Xenopus tropicalis: one gene and its partner. The protein of the gene in region 1 purifies or fractionates together with the protein of each later gene. This does not show direct contact. Links are inferred from orthologs where the notes say so. Each region holds a gene or a part of one and is shown on either strand. Other genes may lie near its edges.

Region 1 (11,396 bases):
CAGGCAGAGTATGGCACACACAGGCAGCATAGGGCAGGGAGGGTATGGCACACACAGGAAGGGTAGGGCAGGCAGAGTATGGCACACACAGGCAGCATAGGGCAGGTAGAGTACGGCACACACAGGCAGGGTAGGCAGAGTATGGCACACACAGGAAGGGTAGGGCAGGCAGAGTATGACACACACAGGCAGGGTAGGGCAGGCAGAGTATGGCACACACAGACAGCATACTCTGCTTGCCCTATGCTGCTTGTGGGAGGTGAACCTGGCAGGGGTTTGTGGGAGTTTGTTAGCAGTTGGAAATAGCTATTAAATGGTCCCTAAGGTGTGTAATTATGTACTGGGGGTTGCTCTGCTATCCACAGGGGAGGAGGAGGCATATGGAATTTAAGGGTATATCTTAATATGACATAATTCTTTCACATATGAATGATGGTTGATATCCCCACAGTAAGCACCAAGCATTTGGGATTTTGCTGTGCTACCACCATTGTGATAAAATAGGTGTGGTTTCAAAAAGGGGAGTGGTCAAAACTGGCTTCCATTAGCGGCCCTCCACCATGTATGCTATAGAAATTCCGGCCCTCGGCACCGCAGAAGTTGGACAGCACTGACTTAGAATAATTATAGTTGCAGTACTTAAATATCAGCAAAGATTTAAGATCGACTATCCAGCATACTTAGGACCTGGGGTTTTCCAGATTATGGGTCTCTGTAATTTATATCTGCATACTTTAAGTCTACTAAATAAAAAAAGTAAAAAAATTTTAAAATGTAATTTAATTAAAACAGTCTATTGAAGATTCCCTTCCCATAATTCTGAGCTTTCTGAACAACAAGTTTTTGGATAACATCCTATAATGTACAGGTCCTTTTCAAAAAATTAGCATATTGTGATAAAGTTCATTATTTTCTGTAATGTACTGATAAACATTAGACTTTCATATATTTTAGATTCATTACACACAACTGAAGTAGTTCAAGCCTTTTCTTGTTTTAATATTGATGATTGTGGCATACAGCTCATGAAAACCCAAAATTCCTATCTCAAAAAATTAGCATATTTCATCCGACCAATAAAAGAAAAGTGTTTTTAATACAAAAAAAGTCAACCTTCAAATAATTATGTTCAGTTATGCACTCAATACTTGGTCGGGAATCCTTTTGCAGAAATGACTGCTTCAATGTGGCGTGGCATGGAGGCAATCAGCCTGTGGCACTGCTCAGGTGTTATGGAGGCCCAGGATGCTTCAATAGCGGCCTTAAGCTCATCCAGAGTGTTGGGTCTTGTGTCTCTCAACTTTCTCTTCACAATATCCCACAGATTCTCTATGGGGTTCAGGTCAGGAGAGTTGGCAGGCCAATTGAGCACAGTAATACCATGGTCAGTAAACCATTTACCAGTGGTTTTGGCACTGTGAGCAGGTGCCAGGTCGTGCTGAAAAATGAAATCTTCATCTCCATAAAGCTTTTCAGCAGATGGAAGCATGAAGTGCTCCAAAATCTCCTGATAGCTAGCTGCATTGACCCTGCCCTTGATAAAACACAGTGGACCAACACCAGCAGCTGACATGGCACCCCAGACCATCACTGACTGTGGGTACTTGACACTGGACTTCAGGCATTTTGGCATTTCCCTCTCCCCAGTCTTCCTCCAGACTCTGGCACCTTGATTTCCGAATGACATACTTTGGACCACTGAGCAACAGTCCAGTGCTGCTTCTCTGTAGCCCAGGTCAGGCGCTTCTGCCGCTGTTTCTGGTTCAAAAGTGGCTTGACCTGGGGAATGCGGCACCTGTAGCCCATTTCCTGCACGCGCCTGTACACGGTGGCTCTGGATGTTTCTACTCCAGACTCAGTCCACTGCTTCCGCAGGTCCCCCAAGGTCAGGAATCGGTCCTTCTCCACAATCTTCCTCAGGGCCCAGTCACCTCTTCTCGTTGTGCAGCGTTTTCTGCCACACTTTTTCCTTCCCACAGACTTCCCACTGAGGTGCCTTGATACAGCACTCTGGGAACAGCCTATTCGTTCAGAAATTTCTTTCTGTGTCTTACCCTCTTGCTTGAGGGTGTCAATGATGGCCTTCTGGACAGCAGTCAGGTCGGCAGTCTTACCCATGATTGCGGTTTTGAGTAATGAACCAGGCTGGGAGTTTTTAAAAACCTCAGGAATCTTTTGCAGGTTTTTAGAGTTAATTTGTTGATTCAGATGATTAGGTTAATAGCTCGTTTAGAGAACCTTTTCATGATATGCTAATTTTTTGAGATAGGAATTTTGGGTTTTCATGAGCTGTATGCCACAATCATCAATATTAAAACAAGAAAAGGCTTGAACTACTTCAGTTGTGTGTAATGAATCTAAAATATATGAAAGTCTAATGTTTATCAGTACATTACAGAAAATAATGAACTTTATCACAATATGCTAATTTTTTGAAAAGGACCTGTATGTGAAACAAGGTCTCCAGTGTAAGCATTACTTACAATACAATTGGTTAACTACAAAACTACAGCCAATTGCTCACTATAGGCAGGATGCTAGCCAAATAGTTACAGTAAGGGCAAAAGCAAAACATGCCAGACTTGGAAAAGACCGGCTATTCTGTAGGTTCTAAGTTATATTTTTATTAAGGTTTTTTGTGGACAATTTCCACTCCATAATTTTGCCCTGCAATACTGAAATATGACAAGGGTGTTTTTATGCAACTACGACAGTGTACAACAGTTATATTTTGTGCAATACTTACTGGTTAAACAGCATAGATAGCATTAGCTCATTTGTTTCCTCTGGAAGGTTGGTGAGGAAGAGGATGTGGTTAGGTGGGTTTTCAGAAATCTAAAAAAAAATAAAAAACAGCATTCAAAGTTATGACTGAAAAACTCAGACACAGGCAGTTTCTGTGGACAGCTCTTGAAAGACACCAGGTTTATTGGGAGTTGCCAGTATATTAAAGGAGATGTATCCTATAAAAATAATGAATGTACCAGTGAATTTTACTCCTCTAGATATAGAAGGATTGCGCTTAAAAAAGTTGTGCTTCTGGCAGGGACCATTAGGAAACGCCCACTCTTCATTTTAAACATGGTCAGAAGAGAGGATCTATAGGGAGCTCCAATAAAGGGGCCATTTTTACAGATTGGATTAATTTTAAGCACAAAGGGAAACCAGCACCATATATTATTCATAATTGCCTACAATATTAGGGTTTTCCCCATTTATCCAATATGTCTCCTTTAAGCACCGCACCCCCTCCCCCGAAAGCTGCAAAGAATAGTTAAGCTAGCAGACATCAGGTACTCTTTATAAAAGCTAGCGAGACTATCACCCACAGACAGATCTGGTGATGTAGTCTAACTTACTGGCTGCATGGGTGCCATCTGCCCAGGCATCAGGTGTCCATGGGGCATGCCTCCTGGTGGGATCTGTCCTGGTGCCATCCCTGGTGGTGGCATCATACCAGGGTGATGCATGTAGGGTGCCTGCCCAGCCATATGCATCATGCGTGGAGCTTGAGTCATACCAGGTATATTTTGCATGCCCTAAAAAATAAATAAAATTATGGCTGTGCACAACATAACGGGTTTCTTTCAAGAAAAAAAAAAAATTGTATGTATTTACCGCCATCTGTCCTGGAACGCCTGGAAGCAACGCAGCACCTGGTAAAGCCTTTTTAACACCCGGAGCTTCCTGGCCTTTCACCTTCCTCTTCTCCTGCCTCTTTCTGTCTCTTTCCACATAGGTACCTTTCATTTTGGCAATGATGTCAGAATCGGATTTTGAATATTGTATTCTCTGGAGTAAAAGCAAAATCAGCATAAAGACTAAAATAACCAAGTTTTAATGGAATGGGAGGAGATACTGTATGGAAACTGAACAGAATGTATCCACCACCACCCTACCCAACTTGGCTTTATAGTTCTTTTTTTCTAAAGAAATAATGAGCACAGATAAACAAACAAGCCATATATTTAATTGCACTGGGTGTGGGATTCCTTTAGCAACAATGTGCACAGCTATCCATGCAAACTACCTAAGCAGATGTAAACTCCCACACATTCACAAGTATTAACCCAGGAGCCCTGTAAAAATATTATGAAGGATGGTTATTGAAGATGTTATTAACTTATGTACAATATCCTTTTCAATATGGGAGTGCATAGTTTCTTCTCAACCCCTCAATGAAAATTAGCATACACCCCAAATATGCACGTACAAAGGTATGTTTACTTTATAGGCAGGGGGATTTGGAAAATTGTTTCTAGTCCTTTAATCTGCCAGTAAGATGGTATATACACCCATGTCCTTTCATATAAATATATGGGTCATTCCACTGTCACTGACCATTTTTCCATAAAGTGTCAGATATCATTCATGTCTCTATAACCATAGACTTATCCTAAAAGAACACTTTGAAGTAAAGTAAATGAAAAATGGGAAAAAAACTACAATAAATACTAACCATTGGTTTATCATAAAAGGGAAACCCCTGCATTGACCTCAGAGCATTTGTGGCACTGCTTATTTCTTTAAATATAACAAAAGCCTGTCCTCTCATCTTCAGGCTGCGAGACACCAAGATATCCAGAATCTGACCAAACTGTGAGAATATGGCATAAAGAGACTTCTTTAGCTCTAAAGAGAAGAAAGCAAAAGTCAAATCTTTGGATTTTCAAAGACCAAGTAATTCTAAATAGCACTAAATTGCAGTAATGTAAACACTGGTACAGAGATTTAGGTTGCGCTCCAGGGATTGCTACAGCCTTAACTCACCATCTTTTTTAATTTTCTCATTCAGGTTGTTGATGTAGATTGTGTTATTAGGCCTGACTTCTTGAACAGCCATACTTCCTCAACAACTTAATCTGAAGGGAGAAAAAAAGGGTTAATTGCATCTTAAAATAGAACAATGCCCTGGTATAGTCTGTACATAAGCCCAGTTATGTATGAGCAGAGTGTGCATATAATATACCAGTGCCTATACTACACGCAGACTTATTTACTTGTGCAAACTAAGGTCTACAATATATTTTCCTTTGCGAGCCATATAGTAGTAACATAGTATTATTAGTATTATCAACACCCAGATCATAACAAAACTACACAGCCCCTGACACAGCCATGCAAAGAACACAGGGTAACATTAAAGTTGAAATATCACAGCCGGGACCTGATTGTGAGAGGCCCGTAGTTGTTGTGGCACAGCTAGGAAGCGGGAAGATATAACAATGAACGGGACGGAAGCATACTTACCCTCAGCCTGGATATGATACAGTTAAAAGGGCCGCCAAATTAAACGCTGGGCTTGTGCTACGATACGAATACGGTACGCTGGAAAAGAAATAAACTTCCCGGATGGAACGTACAATAGCAGGAAATATTTCAAGATAGCAACGCAAGTCGCATGCACTAAAACCCAATGTGATTAACTGAGATTGCCGCCACCGGAAGGCCTTGTACCTAAATTCATTCAACGCCCAATTTACGTCTAACTTAGGCCGCGTTGCTACAGCAACTCTCGACGTCTTGCAGGTATATCATTGGTGACCTACCCAAATCTTCATCGATTGGCTGCAAGCCATAAGTGAAAGCCATTTCACCCTATAGCAATAACCCAAAGCAAGCCGCGCGACCAATGAAATCGGAGGCCGAGGCGTAGAACGCGGTGCAGCTGCTAATATATTCCTCCCGGAAACAGGAAACGGACTCCTGCGGCATACGTGACTATATTGTTTTGCTATTGTTGTAGGTGTTCGTGAATATGATTTCATGGCGTTTATAGCTTAGGTGATAGTTTTCAAGATACTATCGTTGGCAATTAAAATGAATAAATTAACCTGTACAGATGAACAAGGGGATACATATATGGTTTAGTACACACGTGGTCAAAGAATGTTTCCGAACTGAAGCCGGATCTGGTAGTTTTTTTCACCAACATGCTATAAAGTACGGTGTCAGATCTTGTTTACAACCTGTAGCTAAATCTGCAATGTAAGGTTTAGAAACGACATATTCCTCAGCGTCTCGGAAAATGTTTAATCTCTCACACAATCCCTCCCAGTAGCAACACAATTTCATCTCCGTGCAATGGCATTACTAGAATTACAGGGACCCAAAGTCAAGTCTTTTTAGAACCCCAAATTTGTATTAAAATGATCTGTTTAATGCGCCTGTAATAAAATAGATTTTCAGTTAGGACTTCCTTGGGGAGTTGATACAATGACCTGTTGCTTTGAATTGCTAGGAAGTGACACCCACAGTTCAGGGTCAGAGTAGAGAATTTAGCAAGGTCAAGATCTATTTTTACAGTAACCAGACCAGGGGCAATGGGTCACTGCAATAGCTTGCATTTTGCACCCCAGTTCTGTCCAAAGGCTGCAAAAAGGTGTTCATAGCACAATTTGCAGGGGCAGGTATAGAGACTGAATTTGCTACTTGAACTGCAAAGCTCAGAATCCTCCTTGCAAGATATTTGCTTGGAATTGTATATTTGCCATAGTTCTGGTGACAATATTTTGATATCCACTACTGAGGCCTAAATATCACATACTAATAGAATGTGGGCTATATAGTCTTTGCCTATATATTGCAAAGTATACTATATAATAATGCTTGAGGAACCCACAGACTCCAGACTGCTCTTCCCTGTACTAATTGCCAGTGTAGTAGTCTGGTTATGAGTAGTAAAGTATCTGGAGTCAGCTTCAGTTTTCTGGTCATTATTATTATTTATATAGCACCATCCCTTTACAGAGATTATACATCACCACATTAGTTCCTGCCACAGTGAAGCTAACAATTCACACACAGCAGGACCAGTTTTATCAGGAGCCAGTTAACCTGTGTGTATATTCGAGTGTGGGAGGAAACCTACACAGACAAGGAGAACATACAACTTCTTGCAAAACAGGATAATTGAGAAATATATGTTAACACCTGTTATAAAAGAATACAGTCATTGTATCACTGCTAAATAAACAATGTGGGAAATGATTTATGATATGTGAAATGTTTTTACAGGACCTATGCCACATACCAATGAAGACCCAACTGCTCAACAAGCAGGGGTCATTCTGGATCCACCACCTCCATTGCCTCCACCACCACAGATTCATCTACTACCACCAACTGTGGCGAAGTGCAAGTTCTTTAAAAAAGTAGCTGAAAACAGTGACCCATCAACTGGAGGCTGTGAAGAGTTAAAAAAGATGATCAAAAATAGACAGAGCAGGTAAGCAAAATCCAGGTCCAAGTGTAATAGGAAATTAAGAGGTGCTTAAAAATGTAACATACTTAAGTCTACTAACCACTGCACAGGTCTGGACTAGGTTTCAAAATAGGCAGCGGCATTTCAAGTACACAGAGGCCCAAACAGCCCCCCACCAGTCCAATAAATAGCAACTGTCTATGGCATCTTACAGCAGCCCCTCTGGCATTTGGCAGAATCCACAAATTGCCAGTCTGGGCCTGCCCCTGCACTTTAGTAAATCATAAGAAGCTATACATCCAGTTACAACAATGTATTAGGGCTCCATTCCTAGCATTTGAATATGATTGGCCAGATACAGCAAATTAAATTGTTAAATTATGGTAGCCAGAAAACCCTCCATATAAATTATAATACAACCAATATTAAATGGGATGCCCACCCAAATACACTTTTTTTAGCACAGTAAAAGAATATGCAGTTCTAAACAAAATGAATTCCAAACTTCCACTGGTGTTCAAGCTGTTTGTAAATGTAATTGCTATTGAAATCGGTAGCTATTGTGCTGTTTATAGTGTCTGGTTCTGACTTCTGAAATAAAGTAGCAGATGCCTACTGGGGGATGCTTATAATACTTTTCACCCCCAGAGACATAGGTTTTTCTTGTTCTTTAAATTGACATTTTCTTTGTAGGTGAAGTTGCTAGGTTTAAAGTGTACCAAAACAATGGCATGTTTATGAGGTCAGTACATTTTGTGACAATAGATGTTGTGTGTTTCTTTGACAGATTTAATGGGGAGTTAAAATGGCTGCTTTATAACCAGTATGTACCATCCTTGATACAAGAAGGACCTCAGTAAGTGCGTACATATGACATGGTGCTTTGGTGTTTTTTTCCCTGTATTAAAGCATTGTCCATCATACATGCTACTTTTTCTGTCCACAACAGGTGTGGGCTGGTGGCTCTGTGGATGGCAGGGAAATTACTGAACCTGGCACATGAAGCACCACTGCAAACCATTGTAGAGGCTGCTGTTTCTAGAGGGTACACAGCTCAGGGGGAGATGTTTTCAGGTGAGTGATGTTCCAGTGAAGTTTTGCTGGCTACAGGAGTTACTGAGGCCTCACCTACAAACACACTCTCTGCACACAAGTCCTATTGGGAATGTAATTGATTAACCTTCTTATTCATGTAAATAAATGTAATTATGTTTCCCATAGCTGCCAACATGGCTGTCCTGGCAAAGGAAGTGTTTGGCTGTCGGTCTGAGCTACTTACAGGTGGAATGGATGGAGAGAATAAAGGCAAAATTTTGCAGCAGCTGACTTCAGGGTTGCCTGTGCTCATCCCGTATCCTTTTGCAGTAACAATATATGGAGAGTGCAGCTACAGCTTTTCTCTGTCTGGCAGAATTACAAGGCATGGTTTGTGTAAAATATGTCCTAGGTGCTCCCCACCACCACAAATCACCCATGAGACATTGAGAAAAATTGGGTGGTTAGAGGGATCAGCTAAAGTGTGGCCTTTAATCAATGCAGCCTAACAACTTGCATGTATATTGATATTTTCGATTTTTTTTGCAATTTGAGTTTTTACAGCGGTAAAACTAATATAATTCCAGTTTTAGTCCAAAACTTCAAATGTCTGGTATTTATTAAGTGCAAAAAACTTGAAACTTTAAATGTAAAATTTCACCACCTAAAAGCTTGTGAGTTTTTTGTAGAAGTCAATGGGAGTTGTCCTAGACAAAGTCAAGCTATATTTGCAAATTTGAAAATTTTTAGTTTTTTGACTTTGTAAACTTGAAAGATTTGGGGTATTCAAGCTTTTTTTATTTGGACAAGTTTTTCTTATTAAAACATAAGCGAGCATTCCATATGCGAGTTTATTCAAAAATGAATAAATAAGCCCATTGTGAATCTTTGTTTTAAAGGAACAGTAACACCAAAAAATGAAAGTGTTTTAAAGTAATTGAAATATAACGTACTGTGGTCCTGCACTGGTAAAACTGGGGTGTTTGCTTCAGGAACACTACTATAGTTTATATAAATAAGCTGCTGTGTAGCCGTGGGGCAGCCATTGAAGCTGGAAAAAAGGAGAAAAGGCACAGGTTACATAGCAGATAACAGATAAGACACCATTGTATTCTACAGGGTTTATCTGTAAGCTGCTATATAACCTGTGCCTTTTCTTCTTTTGAATGGCTGCCCCCATGGCTACACAGCAGGGTTTGTATAAACTCTAGTAATGTTTCTGAAGCAAACACAAAACTTTTACCAGTGCAGGGCAGCAGTACATTATAGTTTCATTTCTTAAAAATATATACATTTTTTGGTGTTACTGTTCCTTTAACAAAGTATTTTGTTTCCTTTACTCGCCACCAGGTGGCAGCATTGCTCTGTGTAGACCACACTGCCATTATATTGTACAGTTTTATATATTTATATAACTTCGACATAGATAAGAGCTAGGCTGTAAGACAACCTTAACTGCTTGGATAGATATGATGAAGACTTTAACCATGAGCCATGCCAGAGGGAGGGTCACCGGGCTCACTGGGCAGTTATCTCAGGTACTTAAAATTACACTGTGACTTCCTCAGTGATGCTGCATTTTCCAAATTTATGCATACAAAAATACTTTGGTGCTGCTTATTCATTATCATCATTTATTTATATTGGGCTTGCAAGTTGCACAGCACTTCACATTAATTTATAACAAACAGGAGTCTTACAATAATCTAATGAAGGAGGGTTGCAAAATAAGAATATGATCATAGGGCCCTACTTGCAAGAGCTTACAATCAAAAAGGTTAGGGTACATTTGAAACGTAAGAATGGATAAGGAAGAAATGAAAGAAAGGTTGGAGTGGATACACATTTCTCTACATGCATATAAAATGCAAGCTGAGAAAGTTGATAATCCACCAAACGTGCCCTTGGCCTTAACGCTTGCATAAAAAAATAGTTTGTATTATTATTATAAAGGTGTAAGTGAGTGTGGCAGTGTGAAAGGTATTATTGTACACTTATTTTTGCTATATATCTCATATTGGAGTTGACCTTAGGTAGTTTTTTGCTCTAATATCTATTGATTGTGCATCTTATAGGAAGAAACATTTAGGCTAGATCTCTTTAGACTTTGGCTATTATATTGTAAATATTTTCCTTTCTCTTTTAGGTGTTTTATTTGGGGTAAGGTGTGGTTCCTTCAGTCCTGACCCTGATATCCCTGGTCTGTGTTACCCTTCTTCTGATTCTCCTTCCCTAGAGGACCTTAACATTCAGGAAATATATCTTGTGGCCAAGCAAGGAAAAAGTCTGCGATACCAACTGTGGGAGTATGACTGTATCAGCAGGAGCAATGGGCAGCTCATACATTTAGACCCCAAGAGATCAAATGATGGCAACGTATACATAGTTCCGTCAGGTGGTGTAAAAGCTGGGCTCTGCGGGCAGATTGTCCTCTTTCAACCTAAAGATGTTTAACATGGTATGTTTAGCCAAATGCTCTTACAGCAGACATTTGCAGTACCCAGTGCCTATGCTGCTGTTTATTAAAAGGTTAGGACAGGCCCTTGCACTCCTCACCCTAAAGGTGGCCATACACGTAGCGTTTCCGATCTTTAGTGCGACCATTGGTTGTACGAAAGATCGTTCCCACCCTCCACTGACGTTTAGGGCTGAATCGTCAGATATGGAGGTAGAAACAATAGAAATTCTACCTCCACCTGGCGATTCAGCCCTGTAACCTGGCCGGTCGATGAGCCGATCAGTATCCTCAGCCTTCTGCAATGTCGGTCTCCTATTCAAGCTGCCATACAAGCACCAAATATCGGTGCATGTATGGCTGGCTTTAAGCTCTCCCTTTTCTGGTCTGCAGCACTTTATCTACCTCACTGAAGGCAGCCATACACAGGCAGATTTCAGATGCTGATTCAGCAGCTTATCTGTCGCTGTATGGGGACCCCCTGCTGCTATTTAAAGGGAAAGCAATTAAGTTGATTATGATTTTTAGCAATAATGCAGCATTCTTTCCCAAAAGTATAATTTGCATGTTGCTTAATAAATTGTGCAAAGATAAGAAGCAGTACTAAGGATTTTGCAATTACTAGATAACTAGCAAGCTTTCCATCTTTTTTTGTATTACTCCAAATGGTTAGTAGATGGCCTTTTTAAAACCCAGTGGGTG
Region 2 (10,934 bases), on another chromosome or scaffold:
GATCCTCCAAGTAGTCTCCAACGGCTACCTAATCGAGTTTTCTCAACCACCTCCCCAACGCTTCTTCATGTCACGCCTACCACTTCAGGAACCCAGACGCTCCGCCTACAAGGAGGTCCTGCGCAACCTGGTCTTCTCCGGAGTGGTGCACCCGGTCCCAACTTCCGAAAAGGGCAGAGGTTTCTATTCAAACCTCTTCATGGTGCCCAAGAGGGACGGCTCCTATCGCCCAGTATTAGATCTCAAGGCCGTCAACCAATTCGTCCAAAGACATCACTTCAAAATGGAGTCCGTACGATCAGTCCTAATGTCCCTCGAACCGGGAGAATTCATGGCGGTGGTAGACATCAAGGATGCGTACCTACATGTACCGATTCACCCCAACCACCACCGTTTCCTCAGATTCTGCGTGGCAGGGGAACACTGGCAGTTCGTGGCCCTTCCCTTCGGCCTGTCCTCCGCACCGCGCATCTTTACAAAGATAATGGCAGCAGCCCTAGCAGGCCTCAGACTTCGGGGAGTCAAGGTCATCCTGGACGACCTGTTGGTGAAGGCCCCCTCGGTGCTAGCAGCCAACCATCACCTCTCGATTCTGATCCAGTCACTGTCAAGTCTGGGATGGCTGATCAACTACCAAAAGTCAGTCCTCACACCAGCGCAGAGTGTGGAGTACCTGGGACTCACCCTGAATACTGCCGCAAGGAGAGTTTTCCTTCCTCCGGACAGAGTAGCCACCCTGTGCAGAAGGATCTCCACAATTCAACAAGCGGACAGCCTACCCTTACGCATCTGCATGCAGACCCTAGGCACAATGGTCTCAGCATTTCCAGCGCTGCCATACGCGCAACTGCACACCAGACCACTCCAGAGACTAATCATCCTACAACAGAGGAGGGACCGACAAAACCTGGACAGAGTAATATCAGTCCCACCACAGGTCAAGGCATCTCTCTCCTGGTGGCAACACCCACCCAGACTACAGTTAGGGAGCCCCTTCCCAAGTCACGAGTGGACAGTGGTGACAACGGACGCCAGCCTACAGGGCTGGGGAGGAGTCCTGGCAAGCAGAACGGTCCAGGGACGTTGGAAAAGGGAAGAACGCTCCCTCCCCATCAACATCCTAGAACTCCGCGCAGTCTTCCTCTCACTGGCTCACTGGACAAATCTCCTAAGAGGCCACCCGATAAGAGTACAAACAGACAATCAGACAGCAGTGGCCTACATCAACCATCAGGGAGGAACACGCAGCCAAAGAGCACTAGCAGAGGCACAAAGGATCCTACTATGGGCCGAACAGAATGTCCCTGCAATCTCCGCGGTCCACATTCCGGGAGTAGAGAACTGGACAGCAGATTTCCTGAGTCGTCAAACTCTAGACCAGGGAGAGTGGAGCCTCCACCCAGAGGCCTTTCAGGAAATCGTGGCAAGATGGGGCCTACCAGAAGTAGACCTCATGGCATCACGATACAACCGCAAGTTACCTCGATTCATAGCAAGAAGCAGGGACCCATCAGCACTGGCAGTAGATGCACTGGTAGTTCCGTGGCAGTTCGAGCTGGTATACGTGTTCCCACCCCTGGCCCTTCTGCCCCGAGTCATAAAGAAAATAAGAAGAGAGGGCATCAGCACCATCCTGGTGGCCCCCTACTGGCCACGCCGACCATGGTTCACAGACGTGATAGAACTCTCCGCAGACGAACCGCTCCCCCTTCCAGCCAGGGAGGATCTCCTGACGCAGGGTCCATGCGTCCACCCGAATTTACAGTCGCTGGCTTTAACGGCGTGGCTCTTGAGGCCCTAGTTTTAGCCAGGACAGGAGTGCCACGCGAAGCCATACCAACCATGCTGCGAGCAAGAAAGGCAGTCTCAGCCCGCATTTACCACAGGATTTGGAAAGCATTCATCACGTGGTGTGAGACCAACAGCAGGGACCCACAGGTCCTGGAAGAGGGCAACCTTCTAATATTCCTTCAGGAGGGACTCCACAAAGGGCTCGCCCTCAGCTCCTTGAAGGTACAGGTGTCAGCACTGTCCGTACTTTACCAACAACAGCTGGCCTTACGACCGAACATAAGAACCTTCCTACAGGGTGCCCTGCGGATCGCCCCTCCGTACAGACACCCCATCCCACCATGGGACCTAAATCTGGTGCTGTCGGCACTACAGGAGGATCCATTCGAACCTCTGGACTCCATCCCTCTTTCAACACTGACAGCCAAGACCGTTTTTCTACTGGCAATCACATCGGCCAGAAGAGTGTCGGAACTTTCAGCCCTGTCTCACAAGTCCCCGTTCACCATCTTCCATGCTGACAAGGTGGTCTTGCGACCAACACCGGAATTCCTGCCGAAGGTGGTTTCGGAATTCCACCTTAACCAAGACCTTGTGGTACCTTCCCTATGCCCTAATCCCAAAAGCCATCAGGAGGAGAAACTTCACACCCTAGACGTGGTACGCTCGCTTAGGACTTACATAGAGGCAACGAAAAAGGTTAGAAAGGTGGACACCCTCTTCATTATACCGGAAGGCCCCAGAAAGGGTCTAAAGGCCTCCAAGACCACCTTAGCAAAATGGATTAGGGCTACCATCCTTAGAGGATACGCAACCAGAGGAAGACCACCACCCTTCCAGGTCCGGGCTCATTCTACACGATCATTAAGCACTTCGTGGGCCATGAGAAATCAGGCCTCCGCTGAACAGGTATGCAGGGCTGCGGTGTGGTCTTCCTTACATACTTTCTCGAAGTTCTACAAGATTCACACATACTCCTCTGCCGAAGCTAGCTTCGGGAGGAAGGTGTTAGACAGTTATTCCTTGAACCACCAAGAGTTCATTGGATGTCCCACCCTCATGGGAATCTTTGGGACGTCCCCATGGTGCCTGTGTTCCCCAATGTAGGCAAGAGAAAGAGAGATTTTTGTACTTACCGTTAAATCTTTTTCTCTTGTCCTACGATTGGGGAACACAGGCCTTCCCTCCCTATGTTAATACGAGTTACTACAGTTCAAGGGTTACAGTTTTGAGTTATATCCAGTTAATCATTCTGGTTGGGGGTCTCCCGGGGGAGCTCCTTCTCCTAAGAGTGGGTTACAATTCTCGGCTAGGTCCTTTTCCTTCCTTCTTCGGTAAAAAACAAACTGGCAAGTAGAGGAAGTAGGCGGGGGACGAAGCCCTGAGCAGGAGGAGGAGCTACTTTAACCTTTTAGTGTCCATTCTCCAAGCTGCAGGATCTTCATCCCCATGGTGCCTGTGTTCCCCAATCGTAGGACAAGAGAAAAAGATTTAACGGTAAGTACAAAAATCTCTCTTTCAATTCAGAACTTCTTAGATGTCACTGCACTTTTCACATTCCCCCTCTTTCCTTACCATCTAATTTTGTAACCAGTGCATGGATATAGGTATCAGCCCCCCCCCCCATTCTGGCACATACACAAGATTTTGGCAGGATGCACAGCTTGCTTTAATAACAGTGTCCACAAAATGGAGCCTGCCTGTTTTCTGCAATGATGAATTCCAGTGGTGAAGGAAATAAGTTTCAAAAAATGTATGTAGTGTAATTCAAGTTTATTTTGCTTGACAAACACAATATAAAACAATTTGTAATTATTTCTTAGGGTGACAGGTCCCCTTTAAGCTTGATGAAGACTTTATTCTCAATATGTAATGCCTAACATTTAAAAAGAAAATGTTATAATAGCGAGGGAGAAAATGACTGTTTCAGGCAGTCTAAAAGAGTCTTGGTGAACAGAAATCATATAATAAAAAATGTGTGTTAAATTAAAGTTTGTCTTTTATTTAAGTTTTTGGGACCTTTTGGGCTCCTACCACCAATGTTCCCTCTAATTCCTTCTTGGATGTGTGTAAAAAAAATATTTTGCACACATATTTTAAACCTGTGTGCACATCTTTTTAAAACTGAATATTCTGGTAAGAGTAAATACAAAATTTTGTGTTTTTGCACAGAATTCTTAGTGCGCACCACACAGCTTTAGAGTAGGGGTCACTGACCTTCTTCTTTGTGTACCACACAGATTTGGTGGAATTTACAGATGAAGAGGGCTATGGCAGATATATGGATCTCCATGACTGCTACCTGAAATATATTAACCTCAAATCTTCAGAGGTAAGAATTCAATGCAAATCACTTTTCTGCATTTCGCAACAAAATACTTAAGTAATAGTCTGTATATAAAAATGCGCCATTCTTAGGATATAATTTTTGCTTTACTTGTACCATGACTTTATAAGATTGTTCTTGGCCTAAAATGATATATTTGTTTGAGAACAACGTGACTGAATGAAAACGGCTTGATATACTTTTTAGTCAATGACTGCATTAACATACTACCTTTCATCAACCCCACTCCCTTGAACTATTTGTTCACATCTATTCTGTATGACACACCACATAAAACTGGTGATGAAGATGAATAGTACTAGATCATTCAGTGCAATGCTACTTTAACAAACATACACTGTTATGCGATTCAGTTACGTGTAGTAAGTGTATTGTTGAATATTCAGTGTATGTGTTCCCTGTGTATTAGATGTTGGTGCACTAGTCATTTTTTTTCCATTGTATTCTGTGTTTGGAAATGGCCCTGATGCTATTCTAATATATAGGGAAAGTTGTGCTCACCAATTTTATAAACCATTAGGCAGGGGTGTAATGATGCTGTGACCAAAACATTCATACTGACAAAAACAAAAGGTCCACTGCACTTACCAATTTTATATATATTATAACATTCTGCTAATTAAGCTACTGAAAAAAAGCCCTGCCCTTTAGACAACAGGGATTGTTTTTCCATATGTTGCAATATATTTCAAGCTGGCCAACTATGGCCAACAAAATTCATTTAGACAAAAACAAAAGGTCCCCTGCACTAACCTATTATCAATATATAGGACATTAAGATTAAGACATTCTGTGCATTAAGCTACCAAGAAATATATGGAATCTTTCCATACTTTGGTTCACCACACCAAGTCTGTTAAAAACATAATTTAAACATTAAATAAAGGCAATAGAATTGTTTTGCCACCAGTAAGGATTAATTATCTTACCATCAAGTATAATGCACTGTTTAATTATTACAGAGAGAAAGGAAATCATGTTTAAAAATTAGACTCCATTATAAAAAAAATTGTGTGTGTGATGGACTTCCTGTATTTCAAAACTTTCTGGATCCCATACTTGTGTGTATGTATATATGATATAGCTTGTTTGCATGCTGTATATAGCAAAATTTGTATTGTGTTTTATGTTTGTTTGTTTGTTTTCTTTCTTCAGAAATTAGATTATATCACATACCTTGCAACCTTTGACCAGCTTTTTGACATTCCAAAAGAGAGGAAAAATGCAGAATACAAAAGGTTTGTACTTAAAAATAAGTGATAATGTGTATCTATTGGTCAAAATACATTCTAGCCTATACTGGTGTAAACCTAAACTTCTTAGAAAGACATACACATTTAAATAGTAGCTATACCTAAAATATATCTAAAATACTCATTATCGGTGGGTTAATGGGTCTGACAACATTTAGATCTGTCTGTATATTTTATAAGTTTACAAAATAGTTGTTAGGGATGCAACTTTGCATTGAGTTCTGGTCACAAGGTTTTTGAAAAACATATAATATTAGAGCTTTGAGAACAGGGTTGATTTCTTCCAACAAGCTCATGTTACATGGATTTCAAAATGTTGTATTCACTGCAGCTTGGAAATTTGTACTTTTGCTCCAATTCTTTTATCTATATAATAGACTAAATCCCTGTTGCCACAATTACTCCACAGGTATTTGGAAGTACTTCTTGAATATCTTCAAGACTATACAGATCGGGTGAAGCCTTTACAGGATCAGAATGAGCTCTTTGGGAAAATACAGATTGAGTTTGAGAAGAAGTGGGAGGCTGGTGCATTTCCTGGCTGGCCGGTAAACTTGTCATTGTAGTGCCATAGTAGTGTTTAAAAAAAAAATTGCTAATTTTATAGTGTATATTTTGTAAAGTAACCTCCAATTTTCATGAATCGACCTTGGGGTGGAGGTTCTTATAGACCTAGACCCTTAGTTCAAAATTAGGTAATATTAAAGGGGATGTCCACCCAAAATTGTTTTGTGTTATTAAAAAAAAAAAAAAATATCTCTAACTCTTATATACATTTATTGAAAGTTTGTCAGTGGCTTTAAGGTTATTTGTAAATGTAATGTATTATTTATTTAACCAGTAGCTGTATTTAATTTCTGAACTGCTGGTTATGACTCTTGAATCAAAATAGCAAAAAAGATTTGTATTTAATGTGAAATAGGAATTACATTTTTCTTGCCATTTATGGGTGAATAATTATTTGCTTGAATGTTTTACGCACTGTATCTAGGTTAAAGTAACAAGCATATTTTCATCAAGCTGTAATATTAACAGAAGCTTAAGCAAATGTTATACATAAAATATGAGGGAATAACCCCAAGTCTGAGCACATGAGTGTGCATATATTCTAGATGTTATTAATATACAGGAGTATTTCTATGTTAAAAATATAAGAAGAGCCTTGTGGTAATGATAATGTTGCTGTTTTTAGAAAGAGACAAGCAGCGCACTCACTCATGCTGGCGCTCACCTGGACCTGTCAGCCTTCTCTTCTTGGGAGGTAAGTATTTGAAAGCCCTCTCATCTTTCCCACAATATTAAAGAGAATGGGTGTAGAGAAACATCCATAGTGAAGATTTGTGGAATATCTCTATGACGTGTACAATTTTTTTTCAGTTGGTTTCTAGCAGCAAAAACAATTACACTGCTTGTAAAAACACTATTATGGATTTTTTTGTAGATGGCATTTTACTTGCTGAAGTCTGCAAACAATGTATTTTCAACCTTGTGCTATTTTTAGGGATGTGTTTATTTCAACACAAATCGTTGTAGTAGTTTAAGCATGGAGACATTACTTCTGATGTTAAAATGTGTGGAGACATCAGCCCTTGTCTTTTATTATGGAAGAATAAGTCATTAACTGCTTTGTGAGGAATTTTCACTTATACTTCAAATAATGGTGTACTAGCTAGTAGCTAGAGGGTTGTATCTCCAAAGCATTGTTTTTATAAAGGAAATATAAGATGTTTCATAGGATATGTGTATAAAACATTTTTACAGGTGCGTATTTAAAGGAAAAGTAACACAAAATTTTCAAGTAAAAAATCTATTCTACCCTGCCCCAATAATCGAGCCTAGCCTGACTCCTTCCTATACAGAAGGAAGGCTAGGATCGATCAATCAATTGTCGCATAGTGGATTCTTCCCTGCATCTCCGTATCTCCCTATTTCAAATGACTGGAAGCCAAGTTTTAGCAGATATTTTATAATAAATTCAAAATAATAAATGGTGTGCAGGATAAGGTAATTATTGGGGCAGGGTAGAATAGATTTTTTTACTTAAAGGAAAGGTAACACTAAATTTTTTTTAAGACATTTTAATTAACATGAGCTTTTTACAGCAGACACAGATCTCTTTTTTTGGGAGAAGATGTTCATAATTGGGTTTTTGTAGCTTTATCCAAGTCATATTGCAACAAACTTGTTTGAAATTATTTTTCTTGTTGCAGGAGTTGGCCTCTCTTGGTCTTGACAGATTAAAATCTGCACTGATGGCTTTAGGCCTTAAATGTGGAGGGTAAGTGAGCTTGCAGTTATAGATAATGCAGACAGAATTTTTTTCTGCTGTAGCATAAACATATTGGTGTTGACTTTCACGTTTAAATAAATTGAATTTATATTGCATGTGCATTCAGTAGATTGTTTGCCTTTGATTCCTGTTGTATAACAAAATGGCGGTTTGCCATTTTAGTATCACACAATGCATTATATTGTTTAAATATGTAAGTGAACATGTATCAAATTGTTTTGCATTCACAGTTTAAAATAAAAGGGCATAACTTAAAACAGATTCTCTATATAATCATAAAGACTTATGTTAAGTCTACGTTTAAGGAGTTTATTTATTGTTCTGTCTTTCTAGGACATTGGAAGAAAGAGCACAAAGACTTTTCAGCACAAAAGGCAAATCTTTGGAGTCTCTGGATCCATCTTTGTTTGCAAAAAATCCTAAAGCGAAAGGAACTCGCAGGTAAGGGGGCCAATAAATGATTGTACTCCACTGCAGTCAGATTGCAGCTGTTTTAAAACAATTATGTATAAATGTAGTTTGCAGTTCTACTCTCATGATGTCTTCAGTGAGAGCTGAAACCTCATTTTTAGCTTTGTGTTTACAATCTGTTGATGATGAGAGGATAAAAGAGGGATCATGGAGCAGAGAAGGCCATTTAGTAAGGTGTGTAAATGATAGTACATTTTTTTTTTTTTATCTTTATATGGAAGGGGAAGAGGAAGCGGGATTGTAACTCTCACGACCTGTCGTCTGGTTATTTAGTTCACCTAGAAGAGAAGCTTCTGCCCACCATTTAGTGTATTGGAAGAGGGCTAGTACTTTATGCTGTTTTCGGCTGTTCGATGTATCTTAAGTATTTATTCCAGACATGGTAGAAATGTTAGCCTTTCTTGGAGTGCTAAGACCCATTGAAGTTGCATTGTGTATAGTAGTTTGCGTTCCCACAGTTGTTTTGAAGGAGGTTATGTGGTCATTCAGCATTCTAGGATAGAATTATTGCTTTCAAGACCAGTATTTCTGCTAGTCATAAAGATCAACAGTCAAAAGATAACCTTTTTTTGCTGCTGTCTGTGCATTTAGGGTATAACCCTAGTAGTATCTGTGGATTTGTATGAGAAATGGGGATATTGCACAGTGTGCTTACTTGTGTTAAGACATTTCCCCCAAAAGGCATCTAATGCGGTACAAGGCCACAAAACTTATTACGTAGGTTGTAATGTATCATTGGTTTTATGATGGTAGAAACCCCCTGATGCAAAGAGGAGTCACCCTTTATTAACCCTTATTAGTATATCTAGGGGGTTATGAGACAGTTGTGGTTTTATACTTTGTCACCAAATTTACATAGCCTTTAATCTTTAGCTATGCAAAGATATTATTGGGGAGTCACTGTTTTGTTTGCAGTTCTAAGAATGTATAAGGATTTAGTAATAATCCTACCATTGCCTTTTGCGATTCCACAGATCAAATTGGGAATCTGTTTCCCCTCTTTGAAATCGAGGGTTGTTAAATAGTAGAAAAAGTGACTGTTTATAGGTACAGAAAAGTTGTATTCGCTTCAACCGTGTAGCAGGGAATGTCGTAAGTATAATAGGGGAGATCTTTGGTGTGAAATATTGATCTCTTTGGGTGAATGACACAGGTACATACACAAACATGCAATTTGCAGCTATACGTATAAGACTTGCTAAGTTGTACTATTTGAGCAGTGGTAAGTGATTTCAGTAGGCATTACTTACAATTAGAGGATAATATATGCATTTCATTGCACAGTAATCTGTTTAATAAAATGTTGCATTTTTTCATACAGAGACACAGAGAAAAACAAAGACATTGCATTCCTTGAAGCTCAGGTGTATGAATATGTTGAAATTCTAGGGGTAAGTAACCATAATGAATAATACTGTATGTACAATGATCCTTAGATTCTTGCACACAGTATTGTCTGTGTCTATTTCCAAGCTCCCCTCTAAATCCAAGTTGTTTGTTTTGTTGGCTTGTTTTTCGACTGCCTGGTGATCAGTGCTATTTATTTAACTGTTTGGCCTATGTAGTCAGAAAAGTTTTTCCATAAAATAGAATGAAATTAAAAAGAGGTAAAATGGACACTTGCCTTATCAAAAGTAATTTTCAAAATGGGGGAGACTTATTTATCAATGTTGATTTAGGCTTAAACTTTTGCTGTTATTTATTAGTCTATAACCATGCATACTTTCTTGGTTTTCAGGAACAGAGACATCTGACCCATGAGAATGTACAGCGTAAACAAGCCCGTACAGGTGAGGAGAGGGAAGAAGAAGAAGAAGAACAGATCAGTGAGAGTGAGAGTGATGATGAGGATAATGAGATTATTTACAACCCTAAAAACCTTCCTCTTGGATGGGATGGCAAGGTAAGCATGGTGTTAAGGGTGACCATGTTATGCAACTTAGATTGCATTGGGCAAAGGGTCTCTTTGTACATATTCATATTTTTATGTCCTGTGGTCCTTTTTTTTTGTTTTTTTTGAGGGGGGGGTGAGTTTTGTAACCTGAAAGGTTTCCAGTATGAGCGACCTACCAATTTTTATTAATAGTTCGTTTGATGCCTAGGTGACCTTAATCCATATGTTTGGAACAGGAGTAGGGATAGGTACATCTGACTGAAAAAAGGAAATACAACATTAAAACTCTTTGATGGATTTGGATTTGAACCGCTATATTTGTTTTATCCAAGGCATTTCCTATAGATACTGCTGAAACTGCCACACTAGTCATTTAAAAAAAAGAAAAACCTAGAAAAGAATGTAATTAGAATGCATTTGTAAAAATAAAATTAGATTAGTTAGATGTTGAAAAAAATGTTAGATTAGATGTTAGATTAAAATTGTTACATTACCCTTACCTTGGATTTTGCCAGTTGCACCAATTTGTTGGCCTTACTTGTTACTGTACACTTATGGAAATGCAGTGCAAAAGTAGTCCATATGGGTGGAGTTGGCTGAGTTGCAGTTAGTCAGGCATGGACTTGGGGGAAGTTAACACAGTTCAAACATGTTTTTAATCTGTGCCCATGTTCTGCCAGCAGGCCATAATTCTGTCCTCCACAATAGAAAAGAATACTACCTGCAGATTTAGCATTAGAGATAGCTGGGTAGCTAGCACTGTGTAATGTTTATTTTACAGTATTAAAAAAAAGAAATTGACTCAAGTAGTTGTTGCTCATATATTCATATTTTTGCAGCCTATACCTTATTGGTTATACAAGCTACATGGCCTGAATATCAACTACA

The links. Proteins that work in one complex are often made in the same cells at the same time.
Region 2: the proteins of snrpa (region 1) and sf3a3 fractionate together in Homo sapiens (co-fractionation; 4 studies listed by BioGRID and IntAct, with this or other methods). This does not show direct contact. The link is inferred for Xenopus tropicalis from reciprocal best matches to the Homo sapiens genes SNRPA and SF3A3.

The regions. Positions count from the first base shown.
Region 1 is NC_030684.2:78,493,614-78,505,009, reverse strand, and holds the start of snrpa (U1 small nuclear ribonucleoprotein A), read right to left. Parts: upstream 5,485-11,396; 5' UTR 5,251-5,484; intron 5,190-5,250; exon of another isoform or gene 5,168-5,189; intron 4,863-5,167; 5' UTR 4,844-4,862; coding exon 4,771-4,843; intron 4,633-4,770; coding exon 4,460-4,632; intron 3,793-4,459; coding exon 3,619-3,792; intron 3,540-3,618; coding exon 3,360-3,539; intron 2,836-3,359; coding exon 2,747-2,835; intron 1-2,746. Other genes in the region: UPF0692 protein C19orf54 homolog, read left to right, coding at 5,843-5,915, 7,018-7,228, 7,992-8,060, 8,154-8,278, 8,426-8,555, 9,707-9,777, 10,386-10,693. UniProt on the Homo sapiens protein: Component of the spliceosomal U1 snRNP, which is essential for recognition of the pre-mRNA 5' splice-site and the subsequent assembly of the spliceosome. U1 snRNP is the first snRNP to interact with pre-mRNA.
Region 2 is NC_030678.2:83,818,061-83,828,994, reverse strand, and holds part of sf3a3 (splicing factor 3A subunit 3), read left to right. Parts: intron 1-4,031; coding exon 4,032-4,123; intron 4,124-5,293; coding exon 5,294-5,376; intron 5,377-5,800; coding exon 5,801-5,939; intron 5,940-6,583; coding exon 6,584-6,652; intron 6,653-7,601; coding exon 7,602-7,669; intron 7,670-8,014; coding exon 8,015-8,122; intron 8,123-9,473; coding exon 9,474-9,543; intron 9,544-9,890; coding exon 9,891-10,055; intron 10,056-10,885; coding exon 10,886-10,934. UniProt on the Homo sapiens protein: Component of the 17S U2 SnRNP complex of the spliceosome, a large ribonucleoprotein complex that removes introns from transcribed pre-mRNAs.